Linked DNA regions of Pelodiscus sinensis. The protein of the gene in region 2 purifies or fractionates together with the protein of the main gene of each other region. This does not show direct contact. Links are inferred from orthologs where the notes say so. Each region holds a gene or a part of one and is shown on either strand. Other genes may lie near its edges.

What was found.
Region 1: the proteins of CCNK (region 2) and CDK12 purify together in Homo sapiens (affinity purification with mass spectrometry; 6 studies listed by BioGRID and IntAct, with this or other methods). This does not show direct contact. The link is inferred for Pelodiscus sinensis from reciprocal best matches to the Homo sapiens genes CCNK and CDK12.

The regions. Positions count from the first base shown.
Region 1 is NC_134739.1:11,876,476-11,886,815, forward strand, and holds the start of CDK12 (cyclin-dependent kinase 12), read right to left. Parts: upstream 4,555-10,340; 5' UTR 3,955-4,554; coding exon 2,891-3,954; intron 1-2,890. UniProt on the Homo sapiens protein: Cyclin-dependent kinase that phosphorylates the C-terminal domain (CTD) of the large subunit of RNA polymerase II (POLR2A), thereby acting as a key regulator of transcription elongation.
Region 2 is NC_134714.1:24,955,931-24,966,865, forward strand, and holds the start of CCNK (cyclin-K), read right to left. Parts: upstream 3,970-10,935; 5' UTR 3,730-3,969; intron 241-3,729; 5' UTR 180-240; coding exon 1-179. UniProt on the Homo sapiens protein: Regulatory subunit of cyclin-dependent kinases that mediates activation of target kinases.

The DNA.
Region 1 (10,340 bases), on a different chromosome or scaffold from region 2:
CATACAGAAGTTCTTATTTTTAAGTTTGCTTAACATTTAGAAATAAAAGAAAGATCTGAAAACTTCCCTTTGCCTGTGGAAGGGTAATATTGTACATTAGGGTGGCCATTTTCTGAAGACATCTTGCAAATACAATTGACCCCTTATTTTTTGTTTTGTGTTGCACAGTGAAACTGAGTTTTGATTAAACAGTGGGTTGTACAAAAAGTGTAGACCAACTTTATGAGAAGGGGGGGGGACTGTGGTGGGTTATCAATTTAATCCTAGATTCAAAGAATTCAAATACATAGTGTAAATGAGTAATGACCTTTGGAATTTTTTGTTGTTGTTTGATTAACTAGCTAAGTGCTGTACCACAAAGGTATCCTTGAAAACGCTCTCACATGGCTATGCAAGTTCATGGAAGCACATTCAAAGCTGCTTCCATAAGACCAGCTTTGGAAAAAGTGATTTTTCACAAGAGCAACTATCATTTTACAGACCAAATCAAATATTGCTTTTTTTGAGATGTGTTGGGGGGGAAGAGGAAGGAAAACACAGCACTTTAGTGTTGCTTCCTCTGTTACCAAGGGATGTAAAATTTCAATTATTTGGCCAATCGAATAGTCGAAGCAAATTGCATCAACTATTCAATAAAGTTGATAAAGGCACTTCTGCCTTTAAATTATAGCAGTCCCCCACTGGCCTCACGCTCCCTGTGGCATTTCAAAGCTGACCCTCAGCTCCATGTGGCGCTGCTGCTTTGAAACACCAAAGAGAGCCCAACATCAGGCTCCACAGTGTTTCAAATCAGCAGTGCTATATGAAGTCCAGGGTCAGCGGGAGAGTTCCCAGCTGACCCCAGGCTCCACACGGCGCGACCACTTGGAACCACCTCCTCCTCTATTCCCCCTCTCCCCCGCTGCCTCTTTCTGATAGAGGCAGCAAGAGGGGAGGGGGGAAGTGACTAGTCGACTAGCCTGTCGACTATCGGATAAGCATTTGCTTATAGGATAGTTGACTAGTCGTTCACATCCCTACTGTCACCCTCCAATTCAACAGCAACCCTTTTGCTGGTTAAAGAAGAGTAGCTATACACCCTTACCAGAGGCTACATAGCACAGCCAGAAAAGATATACAAGGCATCTGCCACTCAGGATTTTTCTAGAGATGTAAAAGCACGTGACCTGTGAAAACAAGGTTTTCATTTCCCAAAAAGATTTGGGTTTTACATGTACACAGCTCCACTAGATCATATTTCAAAATTAATGGACAGGAAGCTTTTACTTCGATATAGTTTATCAAAATAAACTAAAGATGGGGGAGAACAGGGGTGACTCCAATGAGCTAACTTGAGGCAAAATTTACAGATGCCTTATCACTACTAGGATTTTACATTGAGATAGCTATTTGCAGTTCAGACAAAGACAGGATTTTTAGTCTATACTAGTCCTGATTTTCACTGGAAAACCTTATATGTGAAGAGCAATGGATGTTGTTTTAGGGCTCAATTCCAAAGCACTAAATTTAATGGGACTACCCAAATGAGAAGTTCAAATCACACAGGTAAAGATGTGCAGACCCAATCTCGTTCACCAATGGAATCCTGGGAAGCAACACAACTAACATTGTACATATTGTTTTGCTAGTTTATCATAAGAACTTATTTCACGTAGAAGTTCTTTTCTGAATTATGATAAATCTATAGCCAGTTCCACTACACGCATGCCTAGAACTGGAGGCTCACTGAGACAAAAATTCTAGATTGAAAAATAATCCATATTAGGCTATCTACCAATCTGTACTCAAAACACTCTTCATTACTATAAAATTGAAACAAAATGCAACACTATTACTAATTTCAAACAAAATGTGTGTGTGTCTGTGTGCGTGTCAAAGTTACTGGAGCATAAAAAGAAAAAAAATCCGTGTTCCAAACTAAAAAAAAGTTACCTAATTGACCTTCTAGAATGCCAAGGGACTATTTAAAACGAATGGAAGCAAATGATCTATAACTGAGCAGAACACTTAGCTTGAGAAAAGCAAGTTAAACTATAAAGAAGTAACTTAAATATGGACAACTCTAATGATGAGGAAAGGAAAGAAAAAAATTAATCAGTTCAGAGTGAGATATGCGCTGAATTAAACAAGCCTTCTGAAAACTATAATCTCTTTCCTAGAATTTGGATCAAAGTTTCCAGAATGAGAGAACTTTTAAAAATACTTAGTGGTAGCAAAAGATGTTGGATTTTCAGCACTAGAAATTTTAAAAGTTTTCCACAGAACACTCTCACCAAGTGCAAACTTCCGCACAACACTTCATGACTGTTCTGCAAGGCCCACAGCTAGAGGCAAGTGTAACTCAATCCTACTGGCTCATTCAGTCTTGGCCTCTGGTGGTTTTAAGAAGTGGACATCTATCCAAAGGGATCGGTAACGAGCCCCATGGAGCAGTGAGGAGCCCTTGGCAATAATAAGTGCACACTAATTACCTAGGTCAGAACTGAACATGTGATCTTGAGCAATGTTTCTCAACCTTTTTTTTTTTTTAATAAAGTACCTCCTTTTTAAAAAAAATTATAATGACCCCCAGGACCTACAGTTTTCAGACACACACAAATTGTTTCTACCATTGCAGCGTATTGGGTTAAACAACTTAATCATAGCTGGGCGTGCAGTGAAATTTTTGGGTGTAAAAAGTACAAATAATAAAGCGCTGTAAAACTTAAGAAAAATTCAGTTTTCTCCAAATTTCAGTTGTGTTGACGTAACCCCCCCAGACTTCTCTCAAATACCCGTAAGGGTACTCATACCACTGGTTGAGAAACACTGATCTAGAGGGTCAATCAATCACCCCTCCAAAGCCATCCAATCTCCCTCCCAACACACAAAAAACAGAGAGATCACACACCTGGCTACTGGACTTCGGCTCACGGACCGCTTGGCAACAAAAGGACTGCTTGAGCGCCTTCGGCTGTACGGGCTGGGTGACCTTCCACTGTACGACCCACTTCCCCTCTCATAACTGGATGAGCGTCTCCTGTTGTACGGGCTGATGGACCTCTGTCTTCGACCATAAGGACTAGGAGATCGAGTGTTGGACTGGTATGCTACGGGTTCCTTGTAGGGTGGGCTGACTGACTGCCTGCGTGATGAGCCACCTGGGCTCTTCTTGTATGAGTCATAGTTGCTGGATGTATGTGACCGTGGAGGGCTAAGATCGTATTCTTGGGTGTAAGATGCTCCCGAAGGGCTGTCATCCTGTTTGGGGCTGTCAGCCCATTTCCTGTGAGGACTCCGGGATTTCCGTTTTGGACTGTCAGTGCTTTTGTAGCTTTTCACAATGTCCCTTTTTCGATGGCTTTTACTGCGGTCTTTGTGCCCAGACTTCAGCTCCCGCTCTTTTCTGGACTTCTCCTTGTGTGCTTTGGCTGACCTGGAGTCCTTGTTGCTGCTTCTTGATGGCTGTGATTTAAAGTGTTCTTCATTCTCCTCATTGAGTCTTTTGGAGGTCCCGGACACTCGGTCCTTGATGGATCCTGACCTGATGGACACCTCCTGAGTCTTTTCCAACTTCTTCTCTTTTTCCACCTGCTTACTCCTGTTCAGCTCCCGAACACGCTTGTGCTGGTGGTGCCGGTGCTTGTGCAACCTGTCACTCCTGTCTGAGCTCCCCTTCCTCTCATCATTCTCCCTCCTTTCCAACTTGAGGGCCACATCATCGGAGAAGGTGTCCGAGTCGGAGCTGATGTCATCATACTCCACCAGTGGCTTGATCATCGCACCCAGCGGCGCCGCCGTCTCTTGAGCCACCAGCGGCGAATCTTTAGAGTGCTTGGACCTGTGCCTCTTGTGTCTGGAGACCAGCCGGTGCCTCTCCTTGCTGTTCGAACTGCCACTGCTGGATGTCTGCTGCTGCAACGACCCCCCTCCTCCTCCATCCTTCTTGCCCCCATGTCTCTCTGGATTTGGCATTCCTTCTCCACTGTGCTTGGAAGAGGGGAGGGGGGAATCCTCCAAAGCCCCCAAACTTTAAACCCCAGGCACCGACACCCCTCCCCCAGCTACAGGCCTCTTTCCGTGGCCTGCCTTTCTCCTCCCACCATTCACAACCACTTCTCCCCCCCCCCTGCGCCTTTCCTCCCTGGTTCTAACTCCCTCCCTCCTTCATGGGGTGCAGCCCTTTGGATCAGGCCCCTGGGGTGGGGGAGGGGGACTTGACCTCACAGGGCCCCTGGGCAGGCAGTTAAAGGGCCTGGAAAGACCCAAGGGGGGGTCTGGGGAAGGGGGGTGGCTGGGGCCTGGAGCGGGCCCCTGGGCCTGGGCAGAGGGTCCCCCGGGCAGGGGCCCCCTGGGTAGATCCCTAGGCCCGGCTCCCTCAGCGGAGAGTCCCCGGCTCCCGCCCCCTCAGCCGCGGCGCGGCGAGTCCCCGGCTCGCGCCCCCTTTGTCCGCCCCGCGCCCGGGGCCGCCTCCCCTCTCACTTCCCAAAGCGAAACGGCCCCGCTTCCAAGGGGGCAGCCGCCAACTCTCGCGACGCTCTCGCGTGACGGCCGAGAGCTTCCCCCTCCCTCTCTCCCCGAGGCAAAGGCCGCGAGACGCTCCGGCCGGGCCCGCGCCAGCCTCGCGAGAGCTCCGCGCGGGGCTGCTCAACAAAACTTTATTGAGCCACCTGGTAACGCGGCCAGAGAAACAAGCAAGCCCAAGGCAACGGCTCTTTTCAACAAAACTTTATTGAGCCGCACTGTGCGGACAGCGCCTCCTTTCCCCCTCCCCCACATACTTTCTTCCCCTGCAAAACTTGATTGAGATGCAGAGTGTGGTCAAATCACCAAGCCCCTGCCCCAGATACTTGTGTGGAGGAGCCTCAGGGCCCCTTCCCAGCTTCAAAGAGAGCCTGAGTGCCATGCAATAGGCCCCACAAAACATGTGAAGCAGCCAGCAGTGCCCTCAAGGCAGTGACATGGGGGTGGGGGTGAGGGTTGGTGCCTCTCTAGGCTCAGTTTCATAGAGAAGCCAGGTGTATAACCCACACTCTCCTGTTCTAAACACTAGACCCTGCTCCTGTTCCATGGCCAAAACAGAACCCAGGAGTCCTAACTCCGTTCATCTGAAGAAATGGGTTGTACCGACAAAAGCTCATGCACTTCAAAGACTAACAAGATGATTTATTAGGTGATGAGCTTTCGTGGGCCAGACCCACTTCCACAGATCAAATCAGATCCACTATTTGATCTGAGGAAGTGGGTCTGGCCCACGAAAGCTCATCACCTAATAAATCATCTTGTTAGTCTTTAAAGTGCTACATAGTCCTGTTTTTTGTTTCATCTACATGTTTTGTTAGTCTTTAAGGTGCTGCAGATAGACTATTCCTTGTTTTTTAAGTTTGTCCCAGTCTTATGATTCTCATCTCCTCTCCTCCCCCCCAACTTTTATTTACTTACCAATTACCATTGCTCAAATTGTCGCTCACTTTATTTACTTACCTCACCTGACTCCACCCAGAAACTGAAGCACCCAAAATCAGCAGCAATGTCTAAAAGTTTGTCCTGCCATTGCTTCAATTGTCACTCACTTTAAAGCAGGTGGTGTAGTTGCAGACCTAGGATATTAGGGAGACAAGGGCTATGTCTTTTGCCCAAAAAAACCTTCTTGCGCAAGAGCCGTCCTTCCTGTTTCTTCAAGTAAGAATGGCTCTTGTACAAGAGGGTTTTTTTGCGCAAAAACGGAGCCTAATTAATTATGCAAATGAGGCGCAGCGATATTCCACGCTTTGCGTCATTTGCATATTTTTTGCACAAAAGGGCTGTGTCTAAAGTGGCCGCTCTTGCGCAAAAACTTGCTGCCTGTCTACACTGGCCTTGTGTTCTTGTGCAAGTAAACTGACGTTCTAATGTATAAAATCAAGTGTTCTTGCGCTAGAACTCTGACACTCCCGCTCAGGAATAAGCCCTCTTGCAAAAGAGCTCTTCCAGAAGAGGCCAGTGTAGACAGGCAACATGAATTTCTTGTGCAAGAAAGCCCTATGGTTAAAATGGCCATCAGAGCTTTCTTGCGCAAGAGACTGTCTACACTGGCATGGATGCTCTTGCGCAAAAGCACATGCCAGTGTAGACGCTCTCTTCTGGAAGAGTTTTTGCAGAAGAACTCTTGCGCAAAAGAGTTTTTGTGCGAGAACGCGCTAGCGTAGACGTAGCCAAGGTGTGTGAGATAATATATGTTATCGGATGAAGTTCTGTCGGGGAGAGAGACAAGCTTTCAAGATAAGAAGAGCTCTTGTTTAAAAGCTTGTCTCTTTTACCTACAGAAGTTGGTGTCCTAAAAGATATGACCTCACAATTACTTTGACTCACTTCAGTGGATATTTTATCTGAGTAAGGACTGAGCAAAAGCTTGGGTGAAGGCATCCAGATTGGACAGATAGTGAATAGTATAGTAAGGGCCTAAAAATGCCTGTTTTAAAATGTTAAATCAAATAGAATAAGCAAGTAAAAACTCCCTCCCCTCCATCTGACAAAAAAAAAAATACTCTCTTGAAGTTTCCATCCCTATCTTATTTGAAAAAGAGACAACAGTAAAAAGGACTGGATTTTGAGATTTGAGAGCCATACATGAAGGATTGCTATGAATGATATAGTAGTGGCCCCAGTAATGCATCATTAAATGTATTGAAAACTGTAAGGTTCAAACAGTCACAGCAGAAGACAGATGTAGGTTTGTATCATGGTCACTTCAGTTCACAGTCTTCAAGGATGGCAAAAGAAATACAAATATTTTGTGGTTTATGGCTGCTTTTGCATCCACCTCCTGCTGCTAAAGGCCACAATTCTGCAATGAGCTCAGTATGGAAAGCAACTTAAGCCCACACAGAGCTCCATTAACTTTACCATTTTAAGGCCAGAAAGGATTATTGTGATCATCTTGTTTGCTTTCCTACTTAACACAGGCCACAGAATTACACTCAGCCAGGAATTACTATATCAAGCCCAATAATTTCTGACTGAAGTAGAGTATATCTTCTAGCGAGACATCCAGTCTTGATGTAAACATTCCAAGAGATGGAGAATCCATTACTCCCCTCAGCAAGCTGTTCCAACTGTTAATACTCCCGACCTTTTCAACCCACACGTTATTAACAAATATGCTTGTAATCTTCCATTTGATTTTGTCTAGCTTACATTTCTAACCTTTGGATCTTTTTGTCTGTTAGATTAAAAACCCTTTATCGTTGGAAATCTTTATTTCAAAACCACAATCAAGTCATCTTCTATCTTCCTTTTTGGGGCTCCTACCACTTGGAGCTCATTGCAGAATCAGGGTCTCAGTAAAAAAGTGGTAAACAGATGACCTTGCACCCTGATTTGATTTCCTATAATGTGTGTTTGTTTCACAGGGAGTTCTGTGATTGATTAAGAAATTGTAATGAGCTGATTGGCACACAGAAGTATTTAACACAGTTTTCCTACTGTAAGGAATCAGAACTGTACATCAGAGGCCCTATACTGCTAACAGCTGAAGGAAACTGTCCTTTAGTGCTTTCTGGAGCGGAAGGATACAAGTTGCATCTCCACACCTCTCATGAATTTCAGAATGATTGTTTTGTTTAAAAAAAATGACAACCATTATAGTTCTAGGTAGCATTTCTCCCCATTTATATTGCAATAGAAGACTTACCCAGCATTGCTCAGCTCCTTAATTTATGTTTTTGTTTAATGAAAATGTGCATGCTTCATCTGAATCATTGTTTTGGGGGTGGGGCTAGGGATGAGGGGTTCAGTTTGCAGGCTGCCCTGGGGAAAGAGGACAACCCCAGCTCTCTCTCACCACAACAGATTGGAGCCACATGAGAAGTACCTCTCCATGTCCACTGCAATTCCAGCGGGCACAGCTGGGGGAGGGGTATAGATGGGACTGGTGCAGGTTCATCTGTCCCCTGTGCTCTCCAGGCATAGTGAGGAAAGCAGCAAACTGTGCACTTCCCTGTCACTCCCTGACATAGGGGAACAGCCAACTGTGTCCTGTACAAATTGGGAGAGGGGAATTTGAGCCCTCCCTAACAAGGCCCTGTGGGGGTGGGCGCCTCAGGGCTGTGGCAGTCTCATATGAGGGGGGCACACCCCTCGCCAGCTGCTTTCATCTGCCTGGTGATTCTGTCTCTTTTCTGTTTGGTTTGGTGAGAAGCAATCCCATTCCAGGCATATCCTATTTTCCTGGCATAACCAAACCTTTATCTTCCTTTAAACTCTCTTGGGCTACGTTTACACTCACGGCTTCTTGCGCCAGAAATATGCAAATGAGGCTAAGCGTGGAATATCGCTGAGCCTCATTTGCATACCTAATGAGCCGCCATTTTTGCAGAAGAGGCTCTTGCGCCGGAAGGAGCTGTCTACACTGTCCTTTCTTGCGCAACACAAACCCTCTTGCACAATGCCGTTATGCCGATTACTTTTCAGGAAGAACGGCATTGCGCAAGAGGGTTTTTCTTAGCCAGATTCTGGCTAAGAAGCTGCGAGTGTAGACATAGCCCAAGAGAGTTTAAAGGAACATAAAGGTTTGGTTGTGCCAGGAAAATAGGATATGCCTGGAATGGAATTGCTTCTCACCAAACCAAACAGAAAAGAGACAGAATCTGGCTAAGAAAAACCCTCTTGCGCAATGCCGTTCTTCCTGAAAAGTAATCGGCGTAACGGCATTGCTCAAGAGGGTTTTTGTTGCGCAAGAAGGAGCAGTGTAGACAGCTCCTTCTGGCACAAGAGCCTCTTCTGCTAAAATAGCGGCTCATTAGGTACGCAAATGAGGCTCTGCAATAGTCCATGCTTAGCCTCATTTGCATATTTCTGGCGCAAGACACCGCGAGTGTAGACAGCCTTGGATATGTAGTAAATCAGCAAATCTACTGCTTTATTGGGACAAATTTCCCTTACTTTTTTGGTTAAATATTCATGTATTTGTATTCACTACCTCACTTGGACATGTGATCAGGCCCAGCCAATGAGTTTGCAGAGCCCAAGGCAGCATGTTGTGGTTAGCTGCACCACATGGCCAGGCAACTCCCAGCAAGGGAAGCAAGCAAGTAGGAGGGTGCCAGGCAGTGCAGGGACTTAACAGCACAGGGCCCAATGCAGCCTCCTTGCTCACTTTGCCCTAAGTCCAGGCGTGTATGTGATGATAAGTCATTGTAGGGTTGCCAAGTGTCCGGTTTTCTACCGGACAGTCCGGTATTTGCGCCCTCTGTCCGGTAGAAAAATTCAGAAAATACTGGAAATGTGTAATGTCCGGTATTTTCTGATTTTTCAGCTGGGCACTGGACGGAAGCCTGGCGGGGGCGGGGGAGCGACTGGGAGGCGGGGCCGCGATTGGCGCTGGGAGCCCTGTGGTTGTGTGCAAAAGCCAGGTGGGGCGGGGCGGGGCAGGGGCAGTGGCCCGGACTCCCAGCCGCTCCCCCTGCTGGCTTCTGTGCACAACTAGAGGCTCCCAGCGCCATTTGCGGTCCAGCCTCCCAGCTGGGAGCTTCTGGTTGCATGCAGAAGCCCGACGGGGGAACAGCTCCCAGCCACTCCCCCTGCCCCCACCCGGCTTCTACTAGAAAATAGAGGGAGTGCCTGCCGGGAGTGCAGACTGTTGGACTGCAGCTGCAGCCAGTGGCTGCACCCCCCTGCCAGCTTTGCTCCTCCCCCTCCTCTGGCCGCCCATCCTCCCATCCAGCCCCCGCAGCCCCCGATCCCCCCCAGTTCTGCTTCCCGTCCCCCCTCCCTCCTTTTCCATCCCCCTGGCCCCCAATCCTCCTCCCAGCTCTGCTTCCCGCCCCCCTTCCTCCCAGCCTGCCCCACCTCCCCTGCCCAAGATCAAGTGTGTCTGGTATTTTGGGGGGGGAGGGGGAATCTACCTGGTAACCCTAGTCATATGTATCTTGTGCAACTGCCACAGGGTAGATTTGAACCTAGGCCCTCTAGTGCTTAGTGTAGGACAGTGATAGAAATGTAGCTGTGTTAGTCTGGTGTAGCTGAAACAAAATACATAGACCTGTATTTTGTTTTAGTGTAGGACAGTGGTTCTTAACCTTACTGCAGCCTGCACCTCTTTGGTTCTCAAAATATGTTCTCATACCCCTTATTAAAAATCATTGAAGTAGGTCAATTCTTTAAACATGATATATCATAAAAATCTGGCATGTCTCGCACCCCCCAAAAAGGTATTTTGCACCCCCAGGGGATGCATGCACCCCAGGTTAAGATCCGCTGGTGTAGGAGCTTCTACAGCCTGAGCTATAAAGGTAGGTGGCTTTTAGTTGGGGCTGTAGAGCTCACTCATTCTTACATCTCTCTGTAAGTGGTCTAAGTGCCACTACTGGGACAGTGAACTA
Region 2 (10,935 bases):
ACATCAAATATGAATCTGGCTCCTTCTCGGCGGTATCGTGCCTCAGTAGCTGGATCAAGTCCTTCTAACTGTGATGGTGTATGTGCCAGATCTTTTTTATCCCAGTACCAACATGGTTTTGTGTGGTCCAGGTTTGCCAAATTTACAGAAGGGCTGGAATTTTCTTTATTCTCCTTCATTTATTGAAGTACAATCGTTCCTGCTTGATACGTTTTCAGACAATGGATTTTCAGACAGCAGCTTCAAAATAATAAAAAAAATATAATCAGAAAAAACTGCAATAAACCATCATTTTTCATCCTGAGATAAGTGATATTTTCACTATGCATACATACGCTAGACAAGTCACAAGGCAGAATGAAAAGATACCCGAAAGAAGGGAAACCATTTTAAATTGTTAATTAATTGCTGCATAAAGACGATGCAAAAAGTTTATTTGGTAAGATATTTCATTTGTGAGAAGTTCAGGTTTCATATACACTGTATTTCCCTAGCCTGCAGGCAAATGGAAAATTAAAAGAATGTATAAATGCAAAATTAGCAAAACTTGGGCAAGTAAGTTACTGTACAATATTTGCTCACTTGAGCTAGGGCAGGAATGGGCAATAATTTTTGAAGGGGGGGGCACTTCAAAAAATGTTTAAGTGGTTGTGGGCCAAAGGGGGTGGGGCCTCGGGCAGATGCGGCAGTGCCTTTAAATAGAAGCAGTTGAAAGGGCTCAGAGGTCCCAGCCCCACCCCTAACGCATTGCCTGGTAGCCACAGGAAAGGCACAAGCCCTTTAAATAGAAGCAGTTGAAAGGGCACCTCCAGTTCCCAGACAATGCATCATGGGGCAGGGCCAGGAACTGCCACATGGCCAGATAAAAGGGCTAGGCAGGACAGATTTGGCCTGCTAACAGTCTCTCACCCAGCCCTGATCTAGTGTGTATGCCATGACAGCTTGGCCAGGTTTGCAATCTAGGGGTCCAACTGGATTCCTAGATGCCACAGGAAGATCAGATAACTGATCTGGTGGTTGCTGCTTTCTAATCATTTTCACATATGGATCTTGCCTCATTTACATTTTTGTCATCTCAAAGTTAAGATTACTAAAATGCACTCCATATGGGACCATGTCTTAAAACCACCAACAAACAAGATATTGTGCAGAATGTGGTAGCACACTGAGAAAGCAAGGTATGTTCCTACAAGCAAATTAAATCAGTGCTTCAGTTTCCAATGGATTCCTGTGAATTTCTAGGTAAATTAGAGGGTTAGCAGAAGCTCCCTCCTCCATGAACTTTCTGTCAAATTACAGATACTGTGCCTTCATTGTTCTTGATTCACCTCTCTTTTACAGTGTCTCCAGGCACCAATTATGATTACTCTGCAGACCCAGCTGAGTTTGGCCATCTATATGTATTCATTGCAACCTATTTCTCTCTCCGCAGGAATGCAGCAATCAGAGAAAAATGTTAAAACAAGAACAGGCCTACATGCATAAAGGTCTTACAAACGTAAGACTTACTTCTCAGTCTCAGGGAATCAAGTGAGCATATCTCCAGACTGTTTGTTTTTTCCTAAATGTCAGTGTCTTTTCAAAACCAGCCCAGTCCAGTCACTTGCTGGTGCTGGGTCAGAGTCATGACCCCTCTTCCCCATACAGACAACCCTGTGCATCAAGACACTTTCCCTTCCAATACCCAGACTCTCCTCTGCCAAGCCTTAGCTTCTACATTTGGAGTCCCCCCACACTGAGTACTACCTTATGTAGTCAGACTCCCGTGCCAAGCCCCACTGCCTCCGGTATCTGGACTGTGGGTATTCCTGTATCCAGACTACCCCGTGCAACCCCTTCACTTGAACTCTCAGTCCAATGAACCCCACTTCCTATGCATATGAACCACCCCACAAGCCTCTTGCACCCAGACCAGGTCTGCAACCAGCTGCACCTGGACTCCCACCGTGCCAATCCACACTCTCCCAATATCTGGACACCTCTGCTAAATTTCCAACACCCAGAATCCGCTTCTTAGCCCCAATCATCTTCATCTGGATCCCCTTGCAAAGTTCCTATGCCCCTGCAACTGGACTAGGGATGTTAAATATCGGTTAGTTGAACAGTCTATTAAATTCATGAATTCTTATCAGTTACTCAACTAGTCTATAGTCCCCGGAAGTGGGGCCGGGGCAGCAGTGCGGGGACTATAGAAGCCCCAGAGTTGGGACCAAGGCAGCAGTGCAGGAGCACCAGGTGGGAGCTGGTCCATGAGGTGAGCCAGTTTAGAAACCATCTCCCCTCCTGGCCCAGCTGCCTTTCACCCTGCGCTGCTACCTCTGATACAGAGGCAACAGTCCCTGTCCAGGGGATCACTGAGCTCCTGGACGCAGCATGAGCCAAAACTGAGCCGGGATGCCTGCCCACCCAGCTCCTGATACACTTTTAATGCAGAGCCGCAAGAGGGGTAGGTCCCAGACCCAGTGTGAGCCAGGATTGAGCCAGGTTGCTGGCCAGCCTGCTAAAAAATTTACTGGCCGGGTGGCGGGAATGCAAGGGGCCTATAGCATTAACCTATAAACTTTTGCTTATTGGTTAATTGACTACACTATTACAGCCCTAAACTGGACCCCACTGTGCATACAGATCTTCTGCATACCTGGACTCCCCCCTCAACTAAGCTGCCTACACCCAAAATCCTCTTTTCCCACACCTGAACCTCTCCACATCAAGCCTCTGCACACTTGGATCCCACTGTTCTGCATCTGCCCTTGCATAGCTGGTGCACCTGATGCAGAGGGCCAGGACCCCAGGGTGTTTTGGGGGCAGAGTTGGACTTTGTGTTTTGTCAAGGTTGGGTGCAGCTTCACCACAGTGTTGTGGGAAAAGGGAGCAGTAGGGTGATCTCCAGCCTCTGTACAGCTACTGGGCTATGTTTTCCACTACCGTGTTGGAGACTCCACATTTATAGACAAAACCTGCAGAATTTTAAAATATTGAGTACAGCATTTTTTTTGTATGGAATTCCCTCCTTTGTTTCAAGAGGTTTCTCATCAAAACCAAAACAGACAAAAGTCGGTAATTGGAATACTTTAAGAACATTAAACTAACAGCTTTATTTTTAAAAGTCTCTTCTTACATCACAAAAACAACAACGACTAGCAGGCACCACGAGCTCATTCCTTACCTCCCCAATACAGCACTTTCACAAACAAGCTAGTTTACAGTGAAACTTTTCTTAGGAAAGATCACACTACCACCTGCCCCACATACAGCAAATACTGATTTAATCCAACGTACGGTCTCGACTAGCCTTTTCCTACGTGTAACGCAGTTAGCAGAGTTGAACCGAAGGACAAATTTTACGTTTTTATGACACCAATCTTCCGGGGGATGGGGGAGAAGGGGCGGGCTACTGCCCAGACTGAAGACTGGAGAAACAACGCGCGAAGGTCGAGTGGCCCGATAGCCATGTTTGGCACCCTATTCTCACACGGACCCTCCCCAGCGCCAGGGCCCTCAAGGACACTCGGCTCTCAACCACTCCGAATCAGCCCCACGGCTACGCCCACCCCCCGCCTCAAATCTCCCGCTGCCTCAGGACCGGGATCTCAATTTACACCTCCCTCTTCAGCCGCCTGGCCACAGCACCCCCCGGCACGATCGCAACCCCTTCTCCTCAGCGTCCCGACCCTCGCTCAGCACCCAGAAGTCCCGTACCACGGCATCCCGCTCCTCGCGCATACCTACCCCAGAGCCCCATGTCACCTCCGCCCCATCCCACTCTGTACGCGGTCACACTCCCACCGAGAGACACTCACAAATCAAGCGCGCGAACCCCCCGCAGCACTGCGAGGCCACTAACGACAACACCTTCGCTCCCTGCGCGGCGCCATTTTGGGAATCGGACCAAGGCGTTGCGTTCCGTCGCTGCGTTAGCGTCGCGAGGGCACGGCGCCCACGTTCCAGCCGACCAATGAGGATCCTAGCCACAGCGCTAACTTCCACCCTTCCCCATCACACGCACACTAGAACAGGTTTGCGCGCACCCTACCGTGGCTGTGTCGAGGAAGACCAATCAGGTACTCGAATCGAGAGGATTGTAGGCCTCTTCAACCAATAGGAATCGAAAGTGGTAGGGTGAATTTTCGCCAATCGGGAGTAGCCACACCCCTTGTCCCTGTTTCCGCCACTCCCAGTGGGTGAGCGACAGGGGCGGCGGGGAAGGGGCGGCCTATGAGATGCCTTGGCTGTGGCAGAGCTGGGGGCGGGCCCTTTGTGTGGGTAAGGCTCAGCCAATGGAGGTAGCGGGGTGGAATCAGTGGGCGGGCCGGGCGTTGGGAGTGTGGGGCTCGGGTTAGCTCGGCCGCCACCTCCCCCTTTCCCGGGCAGCGGACGGTGTCCGGTGAGAGAAACGCGGGCGGCTGCGCGCCGTTTCCAAGAGAAGGAGCCGTCGCGGTCGTGCGGAAGGTAGGGAGCCACCGGCCGTTCCGGCCTCTTCTTTTGGGGGGGGGCAGTCCTCTCACGCGCTGGCGGGTTTGGGGCGCTACCCCCTCCCATCATCTGTGTCCCGCAGGGGCCACCCCCAGCAGCTCTCGGTGAACCCATCCGCTCCGCGCCCGCCCAGGCCTCGCCACCCCGTGTCCTCCGGCACAACTCTGACCTCGCTCCACCCCTCAGCGGCCGCCCCCGTCTCTCCTAGTGCTGCTGCGGATGCTGCAGCACCCCCTGGTTTGAAGTGGTTTCCATTATATCCAGGGCTTGCAGTTTGCCTCAGTGGGTCTGAGCCCCTCCACTACAGAAATTGTTCCTGCGCCCCTGCGTGTTATCTTTCCCTCCCTTTAGGGTGCGGGAGCAGCTTCACCGCCTGAACTTTCACCATCCAGTCTCCTATGCTGGGAGCATCCCATTCCTAGCAGCCTGCTCTTCTGGTACTGAAAACCTGCCTCCCACTTGTTATCCTGCTGGCATAAGTCGTGGTCCTTCTTCCCACCCACCCTGCCTTCCTCTTCTTGTCTGTGCCTGACACCCACTTGTAGCTTCTCCCTTCTCATCTTTCCTATTAACATCAGATTTCTCCTGGGGGAGCTGCAATCCTCAGTCCCTCACCCACCACTCCACCCCTTACTCTTATGGGTATCACCACACTTCTCTGTTTCTCATTTTGCTTCTTCTCCTGTGCATCCCACTCACTGTCCTTTTGGTAAAAGAAAACACTCATTTCACTGACTGAGATAGGGGAGAAGAGAAGGTGGGATGACAGTACTTCATCACATGTACTTCAGCTCTCCCACTTGCTGCTTGTCTATTTTCCACTCACTGTCTTGCCAGGGCAGGAGAGAAAAACATTACACCCCACACCTACCTGCTACTCCCTGTCCTGCAGTTATGTGTGAGTATTTTGTTTTAATCCCTGTGTATATGCTCTCAAGGTATGACATTTTCTTCACTTTTATGAAAACTGGGGGCAGTTACATCAACTTCCTCTTCTTGTTCCTCCCTCCAAAAAGTGATAGCAAGGGTGGAATGAAAGTAAACAAAATGCTTAACTTGACTTCTCCCTGATGTTTTGATGAATGCTTTGATCAGAGTTCACATTTAAAAAAAAAAAGAGTTTAAATCAACTCCCCTTACCTCTTTGCCTTCCATAATTCTCCCATACTTCAATTTTTCTGGATCCAGCTCTGTTTCTGCTGGTATGTGGGAGTCTCTTGCTTCATAGAGAGGTGAGCAGGAGGAGGCTTAGATTCAATTATCAATAATATAACATTGGTTTGTATTGTTTTAAGCACTCCTTTTGTTTTCTCTTCTGCCATCTTTTTTGACTTTTTATGGGGTTTTTGTATTTTATTTTTTTGTGTGTGGCAGAATTAAGCCCAGCAGCTTAAAATACACTGAATGATTTAAGTATCTTTTGAATTGATTGATTTGCAGGGGTATTACATCTTCATGGGCCTGTGTGTTGCAACCTGCTTAAATCAGTACTGAAGCTGCTACTGATATTGATGCCATGGTGAAGCTGTTTCTACAACTTCCTTTCCTGCTCAAAGAGGATTAGTTTAGACTATAAAATACAGGCAGTCCCCAGGTTACATGGATCCGACTTACATCGGATCCCTACTTACAAACGGGGTGAGGCAACCCTGCACTAGCTGCTTCCCCCCAGCAGACCAGGGAGACGCGAAGCTAGCGTCCCCCCCCGCCCCCCCCCCCCCGCCACCCAGCAGACCAGGGAGACGCGGAGCAGCTTTTCTCAGCAGACACCTCAGCTTGAGAATAAAGGACTGAGGGAAGTGAGATGTGGGAGAATAAAACTGAGCTCTGGAGAAATATTTGGCTAGAGTTTCCCCTACAATATGTACCAGTTCCGACTTACATACAAATTCAACTTAAGAACAAACCTACAGTCCCTATCTTGTACGTAACCCGGGGACTGCCTGTACCATTTAAGAAATACAAAGATGAATTCATACCACTATTATCTCTTCCAGAGTAAAATGGCAGACTCTGCTCTTCACAAATATACCATTTTACATGTGAAATAAACACATCTTTCCCCTCTTCTGCTCCCAAGATTATGATGATTAGTCCACATTTCAGAATGATAACTTGACTTAGCCTTCAGTTATTGACAAGGAAAGGGAAGGAGCATTTTTCCTCATTAAGGTCACCTAGTAGAGAAATGTGTATTTTTACAGAGAAGCAGTTTTACTAATGTGTGGTTTTTGTTGTTGTTGTTGTTGTGTTTTTTTTTTTTTTTTAAGAAAAATACTTAAAATTTATTGTGCTATATACTAAATATATTTTAGGTTTTTTTTTAATAAAAACATAATATAAAGAAGCTACTGTAGGTATCTGGATGAATGATGTTTCAGATATTATCCATACATCTGGCTTCCAATTTAAACTAGTCATCCATTCAGCAAACTACAAATACACAAATGATGTGTCTTTAAGGGTGTGTTTTATCAGTCATGTTAGCTTAGTTGCGTTAATGTAACATGACAACTTCAGACATGCTCGCCTGCATTTTAACAGGGCTTTTCAATTGTGTTAATTGGATTCAGCTAACACAATTGAAAAACATACCCTGTTGCCTGTCAAAGCAGAGCCAGAGATAGCTTTAGGATTTCAGCCAAAATGTAAGCATGTAGAATCAAAATACTGGCATATCCAAGTAAAGGTGAACTGAGCTGCAGACTGGATGCAGATCTGAATTTTCCAAATTTCTTTCTAGTCACGAATACTATATTTATGTGAACCAAAAGGAAAAAACATATATTGTCTGTCTGTATATATGAGACGAATGCATCTTTATTGGCAGCACTGTTTAGTATTTGTTTGGTGAAAGAATATGCAATTGGAATTATGAAATATTCCCTACTAGATCCATGGTATAGAATTCACAGAATTGTACATTTAAAACAGATTTTAAACCAATTAAATATTAAGCTTTACACTGTTGCTTATTTAGGCTTGTTCCACTGTTGTTAAAAAAGTGATGTCAAGGAGCCAGATTTAGTTTACACAGGCAGTGTTCATTTTTGCATATAATACATTAAAATTTTCATACATTTATAGTTGTTTAAACTATTCGATCAGGATGTGATTTTACTCTAGTTGAGTTTGAGTTAAGGTTATATCTGTGTTTGGATGATTGAGATGTATATATTGTGGGTAATTGTATTTTGGAAGTGGTAGATAGACTGTGGATAGAAGGTGCATTTTGTATAATGGCAGGTAGGCACTATACAGGCAGTCCCCGGGTTACGTACAAGATAGGGACTGTAGGTTTGTTCTTAAGCTGAATCTGTATGTAAGTCGGAACTGGCGTCAGCCGCTGCTGAAACTGATCAGTTTCAACAGCGGCTGAATCTGGACGCCAGTTCTGACTTACATACGGATTCAGCTTAAGAAACCCAGGCGTCCCCATGTCAGCTGCTGCTGAAACTGATCAGCGGCTGATTCCAGGAAGCCCGGGGCAGAGCAACTCTGCCTCGGGCTTCCTGTAGTCAGCCCCTGGTCAGTTTCAGCAGCGGCTGACTTGGGAACGCCTGGGGCAGAGCAGCTGGGGTGCTGCTGGGTTGCTCCAGTAGTGCAGCCGCTCCTTGGCGCTACTGGACCAACCCAGCAGCACCTCAGCTGCTCTGCCCCAGGCGTCCTGATTCAGCCACTGCTGAAACTGACCAGCAGCGGCTGAATCAGGATGCCTGGGGCAGAGCAGCTGGGGTGCTGCCGGGTTGGTACAGTAGCGCCGAGGAGCGGCGCTGCGGGACCAGCCCGGCAGCGCCTCAGCTGCTCTACCCCAGGCGTAGGCAAGAAAAGCCTGGTCGGGTGGGGTAGGGGGGGCACTAGCTGCACCCCCCCCCCCCCAGCAGACCAGGGAGACGCGGGTGGCGGGACTGCCCGCGTCCTCCACGGCTTTGCTCCCCGTCTCCCTGCAGACCAGGGTGATGCAGAGCAAAGCCTTGGAGCACGCCCTCAGCGAGACAGCCCAGGCGCGCCCGGGCTATCCCGCTGCGGGCTTTGCTCCTGTCCCCCTGGTCTGCTGGGGGGGGGTCCAGCAAAGCCGCTGGACCCCTCCCCCCAGCAGACCAGGGACACCTGAGCAAAGCCCCCGGCTGGGCGGCTTTGCTCATTTGCCCAGGAGCAAAGCCGCCCAGGCGGGGGCTTTGCTCAGGTGTCCCTGGTCTGTTGGGGAGGGGTCCAGCGGCTTTGCTGGACCCCCCCCCAGCAGACCAGGGAGACCGGGAGAAGCTTTTCTCGCCCTGGAGGACACGTGTGGCGACTCGCCACCCGTGAGCTCCGGGGTGAGAAAAGCGCCGTTCGTAAGTGCGGATCTGACATAAGTCGGATCCGCGTAAGTTGGGGACTGCCTGTATACCAAAACATTGTAATGGCTAATGGTGGCAGGCAACATGATCCAGTGGATTGGGTCTTGGGAGTCAGAGACCTTGGTTATATAGCCAGCTGCACTGCTGACCAGCTGCATGAGCTTTGGTAAATCACTTAATTTCATTTTACAGGTGCAGAGACTGAGGCAGAGAGAGGAAATGATACATATCTTCATTTATAAATGATTGAAGAAAAAAGTGTGATGACCCAGCTAGGTGATGCTGTTAGGAAAGACAAACTAAGACAAAAGAGAGAACTTTAAATGTTTAGCCTTTTTGAGCTTGTACATAGTTTGCGGTTAATACCGAATGTGGTGTTTATGTTAAGAACAAAATATTACACGATACTGTGCCACTTGAGAGAAGAATCAACTTTACTTTTCCTTCGCATAAGTTTAACTCCACTCTTGCTGTCCTGTTCTTTGCTTCTCTTCAGCTTGAACTGTTCCCGTGTTCCCATGGCTGTACCTCTTTCGCAGAGTTTATCCACAAGCAGAGTTTCTTAACCTAAATGGCCCTTACTTGTCCGTTAGGCAACTTTGAACTGAATTTGTCCAATAGATGTTCAGTCACTCTCTGTTCATATGATCTAGGTCCTCTGTTGGTAAGCTTTTTTTTTTTTTTTGCTTCCAGAATCTTTTTGCATCTTTTTAATCAATTCCTTTTTTCAACAGTTATATTTCCTTTCAGTTTTTGTCCTTGATGCTTGTTCTCTGGTAAGTCTGTAGTTTTTCCCTTCTGTCTGTTCATGTCTAGTGTTCTCCCGCCCCCTTTGCCCTGACCTGAAACCTTTCCTGTTCCTTGACAAATGGAAAACAGCTAAAACACAACTTCTTTTATCCTCTCTCTGCCTCCCCCCCAAAAAGCTGGCACATCAATTTAGGAAAAAAACCCAAAACATTATTTTTCCCTAATATTGATTAATGCAGTGTTGTCTTCCTGAGTGGCATCTGGGGATAGCATCTTGTAGAAAATGCCAGTATTGTAGGAATCAAGAGGTATTGCTTTAGACATGGCTGGTTCTCCTCACTCGCCAATGTTTCAAAGAGTTTTGTGGTTTAAAATGTGTGGTAAACTTCTTAAGCCTTGACCAAGATGCTAGATTTGCCAGTATTTCTATCCTATCAATGAATACAATCAGACTTCATTAATCTTAGAATGCCAGATTTCTTTATTAGTGATGTTACTGTGGGCTCTTTGAGGGAAAACTTACGGGTATTTTGTACATAGCAAGTCAGAGTATTGTCAAGACACCTTTCTGCTTCATTACAATTGGCCTATGTTCTGCTAATCAAATACCTTTTGAGGCCCAATTATTGGGAACTATAATTGTCGTATTGAGACGGGATTATTCTGTTTGGTAAAAGCCAGGTAGAAAATTGTGAATTGACTAATTTGTGTCTGAACACATATATAGATCTCCCCTCTTTGTGGCTGATGTTATTTTAAAAAATGCATTTGATTCCAGTAACTTCATTTGCTGATTTCTGAAGGGTGGTTGCTTGTAAGAGCATGTCTACGCAATCAATGCATCCAGTGAAGAGGCTCTGTGCTATAGGAAGAGAGCTGTTTGGATAGTAGGTACTGCCTCTTGCAGAGGTGGTTTTGTGTTATCAGTAGAAGCTTTCTTGTCAGCATAGCACTGTCCACACTGGTGCTTATGTCAGTGTAACTTATTTCACTATGGAGGGTCGTTTATTCATACCCCTGAGTGACATAAATTATGCTGCAATAAGTTGTTTTGTAGCTGAAATATTTTACCAATGCTGAGTTTTAACATACCTGAAAATGGAAATTTGGTGATCTTCAAGGATTGTACAAGGTTTCCCTCTCCGCGCCCCCCCCAACACTTTCAAGAAAGTGAATGTAATACTATGAAAAGCATTAGTTTGATCTTAAGGCTTTTTTTTTCTTTTCAGACCAGGTACAGTGAAAGCAGTAGCAGTGCAATGTTTCTTATATTTGACCAATATCCTCAACCTTATGCTAGTGATGGCAAATCCCCTACTATTATGTGATACAGCTTTTGATAGTCAAAATGGTTTTGAATTTAACTCTGATT